2 linked regions of the Callithrix jacchus genome follow. The protein of the gene in region 2 purifies or fractionates together with the protein of the main gene of each other region. This does not show direct contact. Links are inferred from orthologs where the notes say so. Each region holds a gene or a part of one and is shown on either strand. Other genes may lie near its edges. The genes, in order: CD81 and CD19.

What was found.
Region 1: the proteins of CD19 (region 2) and CD81 purify together in Homo sapiens (affinity purification with western blotting, with the first as the bait; 3 studies listed by BioGRID). This does not show direct contact. The link is inferred for Callithrix jacchus from reciprocal best matches to the Homo sapiens genes CD19 and CD81.

Annotation. Positions count from the first base shown.
Region 1 is NC_133511.1:129,491,970-129,496,363, reverse strand, and holds the start of CD81 (CD81 antigen), read left to right. Parts: upstream 1-1,493; 5' UTR 1,494-1,722; coding exon 1,723-1,788; intron 1,789-4,394. UniProt on the Homo sapiens protein: Structural component of specialized membrane microdomains known as tetraspanin-enriched microdomains (TERMs), which act as platforms for receptor clustering and signaling.
Region 2 is NC_133513.1:29,024,486-29,027,112, reverse strand, and holds the end of CD19 (B-lymphocyte antigen CD19 precursor), read left to right. Parts: intron 1-115; coding exon 116-229; intron 230-362; coding exon 363-467; intron 468-548; coding exon 549-617; intron 618-718; coding exon 719-775; intron 776-862; coding exon 863-919; intron 920-1,751; coding exon 1,752-1,844; intron 1,845-1,947; coding exon 1,948-2,039; 3' UTR 2,040-2,052; downstream 2,053-2,627. UniProt on the Homo sapiens protein: Functions as a coreceptor for the B-cell antigen receptor complex (BCR) on B-lymphocytes. Decreases the threshold for activation of downstream signaling pathways and for triggering B-cell responses to antigens.

The sequences.
Region 1 (4,394 bases), on a different chromosome or scaffold from region 2:
AGCTTCCTGAGAGTGGGATCAGTGTCTCCCTCCACCCACCTCCCCCTGCTGAGGACACAGCCCATGCCTTTAACGGGAAGTGTCCCCCTCACTGGGGACAGCAGTGAGCTGACAGGAGAGCAGGTGTTCAGGACACCCAGAGAAATGTTTCCTCACACTGGAACTCTTCCTGTCGCCTTCGAAACAAAAAGAATCCTTGAAGACTCTCAAGGGATCATTTAAGAGTCTTTTCTTATAATGTCACTTCGACTGGCACAAAACGTAAAACTAGGCATAAACCAGTGCTTATGTTCTTATGCAGGCATGAAGCCAAAGTCAGTTTAAAAAGTAACCACCAAAAAAACTAGCAGAGCACAGCCGATTCCAATAGAACCGTTCTGCCCACTGTGAGCGCTACCGGCCACCCAGGGCCACGTGAATTTAAATTACAATGAAACACAATGAAAGATTCAGTTCCTCGTGGCCACATTTCCAGTACCCAGTAGCCACTCACGCCAGGGGTTATCCAGGTACAGAACATCCCCATGGTTGCAGAAGGTTCTATTCCACAGCGCTGGGTTGGACGACATTTGCTAGGACTGGCTGGCTAGAGGACCGGTTCTCCGAACCTTGTCCCACGTGGTTCCCAGGTAAGCTCCCCCCCATGACGCATCTGCGTTGTGGGAAACCGTCGGTGAGTCATCTGCTGCAAAAGCCTCCGCTCCTTCATCTGGGGAGAAGCACCCCTCACTCTGAATCATTAGCCCAAAGCAGTGAGTGCAGCGTGCCTGGCCCCACACCTTCCGGAAGGCTGGCATCCCTGGGGCGCGACACACCAGGGCATAGATGAAATAGATACAGTATTTGGAGGTTCTCCTGCAGGTGGCTCTGGCCTCCCAGACACTTCACACTGGTTGGGAGCCGCCCTCTCAGGCCCCAGTGACCTTTTCAGATGCAGACTCCCGCAGCATGGGTCAGCAACTCCCCGCTTCCATGGGACAGGGATTGGTTGCCTCTACTAGGACCTTCAGGCCAACACCCACTTGCTAGGGGGCCTCATGCCCAGGTTCCAGCCCCCGAGAGCAATGTGAGCAAAGCTTGCTGTCTTTGCAAAGCCAACCGCTGCGGCATCACCTCCTTCGGGGAGCCCGCCCGGATTGTCCAAGGTGCTTGAGAGAGGGAGGAATAGGTTGCTCTCCAAGCACCCGGGCTGCCCTCCTGGGCAGAGGCTGCATGCCTGTCCCCAGGCGCGGTCCTGCTGCCACCCTCGGGGACTCCGAGCGCGATAGCAGCCCGGGGACGCCTCCCGCGCCCAGTGCGGTGCACCCAGGGCCCTGAGGTCCCGGCCGAAATGCTCCGAGTTGGGGAGGTGCAGCGCCCCACACACCCCCCGGCTGCGCGCCCTGGCGGCAGGAGGCGGGGCAGGGGCGGGGCTGAGGCTGGCCGGGGCGGGGCCTACGGGGGGAGGGGCCGCGGCGCCTTTAAGTGGTGCGGAGCGGGGCGCGCGCCCGGCCAGAGAGCGAGCGCGCAGCTGCGGCGACAGCGGCGACCCTAGCGCGCATCCGGCGAGGCGACCCCACCGCGCATCCTCCCGCGCCCCCCGCGCCCCCGCGCCGCGTTCTTCGCGCCCCAGCATCTCGGCCCGCCAGGCCCCCCTGCCGGCCGCCCGCCAGGCCACGCGCCGGCCCGCCCGCCGCCCAGGACCGGCCCGCGCCCCGCAGGCCGCCCGCCACCCGCGCCGCCATGGGAGTGGAGGGCTGCACCAAGTGCATCAAGTACCTGCTCTTCGTCTTCAACTTCGTCTTCTGGGTAAGGGCCGGGCCGGGGTCCGGGGTCCGGGGCTGGGGGCACGCACCCCACCTCGGCTTCCGGCAGGTCCCGCAGCCGGGCGCTAGGCCCCGAGGGCGCAGCGCGGGCCGCGAAGTTGTGGGGCCACCTGTGGGCTCCGGGAGCGAAGTGGGGGTTCGCCCGGGGCCGCCGCGCCCCCCGACATTGGTGCTGGGGGCTGCGAGCCGAGTTTCGGGGCCTCTGTGCGCGAGGGCCCAGCACGGCGGCCGGGCGGGGGTTCTGGGGGCCGCCGGGCAGTTCCTGCTAAGTGGTGGTGATGGGTGCGGTGGGCGCGGGCCTGGATCCGAGTACCCGGTTGCCCCTCAGCTGAGCAGGGGCACGCGGGGTCCGCTGGCCGCGGATTCGGGACCGTTGCCTTTCGGGGACGAAGGGGGGGGCTCGCGGGCGGGACTCCTGGCGCCCCGCCCCCATGAGCTCATCAGGGCCGCCGCCCCTGGATGGTGGGGCGGGGGCGCACACTTTGCCGGAGCCCTGGGGCCATGCGCCTGACCCACTTCCCGGCCCAGCTTACTCTACAGTCTGCTGTCAGCACCTGGGACCTTCCTGGGGGTCGCGCTTAGGGAAGGAGCGCAGACACCCTCCGGGATGGCCCAAAAGCTGGGGTGCACGCACCCTGGCGGTCCCTAGCTGGGGGCCGGTCTCCCGCTCCTCACCCAGACACGTTCCAGCCTAGGCCTCTCCCCAGAAGGGCTCTGGAGGCCTTGCGGGAGTTGGGTCCCGCGGCCCTCAGTTGGCACAAGGAATATAGTAGCGCCAGGGGCTTGGAGTGGGTGCCAGGGTCTGGGCGTGGGCCCGCTGCTTTAGAAAGGGGCCCCCACACTGGGCATCTTTGGGTGCCAACGTAGGTGAAGGAGGGTCTCCCGCTGAGGGTGGCTTTCTCCTGCCCGCAGGCTTTGCTGTTGGGAAGTGACTGACGGGCTTTCGCCTTTTGTTTCCATTTCCGCCACTGTTGGAATTGAGGAGGGGGTGGAAATCCCTTCTTGGCCTGGAAGGACTGGAGTGGGTGTCCATGGCCTTGGCTTCCCTGTGGCCACGCCCCTGGGCAGAGATTGCTAGCCCCTCCCCTTGCCTCCCCCAGGCTGTCACCCCCTTCTCGTGGAAGACTCGGCTGAGGTCCCGGTAGAATGAGTGTTTCTCAAGTTAAGGCAGAGAGGGCAAACTTTTAAAATGGCCCCTGGAGCCACTGTGCGGGACCAGGGACATCTGTTTTCCATCTGGAGGGCTAAGGATCCCAGCACGGATCTGGGGCAGGGAGATTATTTGGAGGGAGAAGGACAGAGGCTGGACTGAACTCTCAGCTGGGAGAGGAGTGAGGCAGTCACATCCCACCTTCCCCAAGGCTGTTCTGCATAGCCTGCCCGGGACACTGGTGGGAGTCACCCCGTCCATCGGCTCTGCCCGGGCAGTGGGGGCAGCGAGGCTGCCTGGGAAAGGGTTACCCTCCCCAGGCATGGCCCTGGGACCTCGGCAGGTCCTTAATGATGGCCTGCTTCTGGCTGGGCAGGTGGGAGAGGCCCAGGACCCAAGGACATCCATCCCTCTGCTGGCCCTGGAGCCCCATCCCCTGCCGAGGAGAATGTGAACCTGGAGACAGGGGCTGAAGGGGGTCGGGGAAGGGGACTTCTCCAGAGGCGGACTTTTGCTCTCTGGATGGTGCGTCAGCGCTGGATGAGCCCCTCCTGCCTGCCCAGGCTGAGAGGTCTCCCTGGCAGCCCTCTGGGAGCGTCGCCAGGGCGGGCCTGGAAGTTTCCCAGGCAGCTGGGGTGGAGGCCTGATGTATCCCAGGGGTGCTCATTATTAAGCCTCAAGGAAATGGTTCCGAGCCCTCGCCTCTGTGCTCCCGCAAAGCATTGAGAACTGGTTCCATCCACAGTTACTGTGAGCCATCCATCCACTGGGGCTCTGCGGTAGCCAGAAATGCCAGGCTGGGTGATGGGGGGCTGGTAAGCACCACCCTGCGGGAGCCCCCTCCACCCTGGCATCACAGGGCGTGTGGCTGAGGGCACCGTGCCATGGGCTTGGGCCTTCCCCGTCTGCATTTCGGGTCCTCAGTGAGCGTGCCTTCTGGGGTTGCTGGTGGGTTCCCTGACATGCCTGAGTGCTGGTGGGGGCCTTGGTGCAGGAAGGGCTCAGGGCATGGGTGTTGGGCAGGGCTCCAAAGGGACCCCAACCTCAGAGCACGCAGTCTGGCCAGGCAGGATGTGCTGTGCAGAGGGGCTGCGGGACCCCTGCAGGGCCCAGAGGGCACAGTGTAGTCCTGTGGGCTCAGGTGAGGCTGGTGGGAGTAGGCTGACAATGGGTGTCTGGATGGACACTTGTTAAAAGTTCCATTTTAGAGAGGACCTCTTCCCCAGGAAGGAGCCCACGCACACACGAACATGCACTCATACACACATACACGCATTCACACTTGCTGTCCCCCTCCCCAAGCCAAGGTGCAGGGGTGGGGGGGGCCAGGCATTGAGCAGGTGTGCCCTGACTGCTTTGGGGCCGGCGAGAACTGGGCTCCCTGGGTGCAGGGCCAGCCGGTCCAAGTAGGAAGACAGTGCAGACACCCTGGCCAAGCA
Region 2 (2,627 bases):
CAAGAGTCCATTCGCAGAGCCCAAAGCATCCTCTTCTCGTGCCCTGCCGCGCGGATCTTTAGCCTTAACCGCCCCCATCTCTTCTGATCCCTCTTTACAACGCCCCTCTCGCCAGGACGCGCCCAGCGTTGGGCCGCGGGCCTAGGGGGCACAGCCCCGTCTTATAGAAACCCGCGCAGCGACGTCGAGGCGGATGGAACCGTGGGGTCCCGGAGCCCCCCGGGAGCGGGTGAATGACTGGGGGAGGGAGGGGTCGTTCCCCACATGGAGGGGGTTGGAGCGGTCTGTGGCTGGAATAGTGGACTGGGGCAGGGAGGAGAGGGGGCCTGACTCGGTTCCAATCCCCATCCCCAAATCCCCAGGACCAGAAGAAGAGGAAGGGGAGGGCTATGAGGAGCCGGACAGTGAGGAGGGCTCTGAGTTCTATGAGAACGACTCCAGCCTTGGGCAGGACCAGCTTTCCCAGGGTAAGGCTGCCCTCCCCCGTGGCCCTCCACTTCTCTGTGGTGAACTGTGGACACCCATGGACATTCTTCCTTCTCCACCAGATGGCAGCGGCTACGAAAACCCTGAGGACGAGCCCCTGGGTCCTGAGGATGAAGACTCCTTCTCCAATGGTAACTTGGGGCCTTTGTGGGACCTTGAGAGACTTAGGTGTAATTGCAGTGCTGTGATACCCCTAGAAGGGGTCCCTGGAGTTCTCTCTCTTCTGCCGCAGCTGAGTCTTATGAGAACGAGGATGAAGAGCTGACCCAGCCAGTCTCCAGGACAATGGGTGTGTGTGAGGATGGTAACAGTGCAGGGGGAAGGTGGAGGATGCTTGGAGGCCAGGAGGAATAGCAACCCCCTCTTCCCTTTCCAGACTTCCTGAGCCCCCATGGGTCTGCCTGGGACCCCAGCCGGGAAGCAACCTCCCTGGGTGAGAGCTGCTTGCCACCAGACTGCCTTACACAGCTTGGGTGACCGGGACTCAGCTCTGACACCAGACCCAACTTTGACCGGCCTCTGACCCCAAACCCAAACCCAATCCTGACCTTAGATTTCACTCCTAACTCTATCCTCAACACTGATCCCCATTCCCCATCCTGACCCCCGAGTACTTACCCCCTCCCTAACTGTGAATGTCAACACGGATCTCAATCCAGTACCATCCTGGACTTGACCTCTGCCTCACCTCAGCCCCAGTGCAGACTGAAACTTGGACCCCAGCTCACTCTGTGGCTTCTTCATGACTCTGACTCCCTCCAGTTTTTTTTTTTTTTAAGACTGAGTCTTACTCTGTCACCCAGGCTGGAGTGCAGTAGCTCACTGCCACCTCTGCCTCCCAGTTTCAAGTGATTCTCAGGCCTCATCCTTGTGAGTAGCTGGCATTACAGACGTTTGCCACCACCCTTGGCTAATTTTTCTATTTTCAGTAGAGATGGGGTTTCGCCATGTTGGCCAGACTGGTCTCAAACTCCTGACCTCAGGTGATCTGCCTGCCTCAGCTTCCCAAAATGCTGGCATTACAGGCATGAGCCACTGAACCTGGCCAGTTCTGTTCTTGACCTCTTCTCTAGCCATAATCTAACCCATACCTAAAGCTGAACCTATAGCTAACCAGGGCCCCAAACCCTATGCTGGCCGAATCACCCCTTCCCAGCACAGCATGGGTGATGCCCCTCACCTTCCTCTGTCCCCCAGTCTCCCTCCTTACCGTAGGCTGTACTTTCCACACCCAAGCCTCCAATTATCCATCTCCGCCCAAGCAGGGTCCCAGTCCTACGAGGATATGAGAGGGATCCTGTATTCAGCCCCCCAGCTCCGCTCCATTCGGGGCCAGCCTGGACCCAATCATGAGGAAGGTGGGTGATTCTGCTGCTGTCCCCTCCTGTCCCCTGGGCTGACTTCACCTCCCAGCCTACTTCCATTGCTACCCGTGTTCTCCTCCTCCCTGGTTCTGTCCAGATGCAGACTCTTATGAGAACATGGATAATCCTGATAGGCCAGACCCACCTTGGGGAGGAGGAGGCCACGTGGGCACCTGGGGTGCCAGGTGATCCTCAGGTGGCCAGGTGAGCTGGGACTGCCCCTAGGGAAAGGGGGGAGGGAGGGAGATAGGCAGGGATGGCAGTGGTGCTGGCTGTCAGGGAGGAAGAAGGAACAGGGCTCCTAGGGCCTGGTGGCCAGGGGGAGGGACTGCTGGAACCCTCCTCATCACTGTTTCTTCTGCATAGCCTGGATCTCCTCAGGTCCCCAAGATTCACACCTGGCTCTGAAATCTGAAGACCTCAAGCAGATATGATGCCAACCTCTGGAGCAATGTTGCTCAGGATGTGTGCATGTGTGTGCGTGTGTGCGTGCATGTGCATGTGCGTGTGGTGTGTATACATGCCAGTGACACTTCCGGTCCCTTTTGCATTCCTAAATAAACTCAATGAGCTCTTCCAATCCTATGAAGTAGTGCCCTTGTGTGGGAAGGGAAGGGAAGGCATCTTGAGTCCCATGGAGGAGGGAGGGCTGCCTTCTGCATACAAAGGGCCTTTTCCTGGCTCGGTGGCCCACACCTGTACTCCCAGCACTTTGGGAGGCTGAGGCCAGGGTCTTTGACTTCTTTGTGTTTCTCCTGCCTATGACAGTCTCCTGGG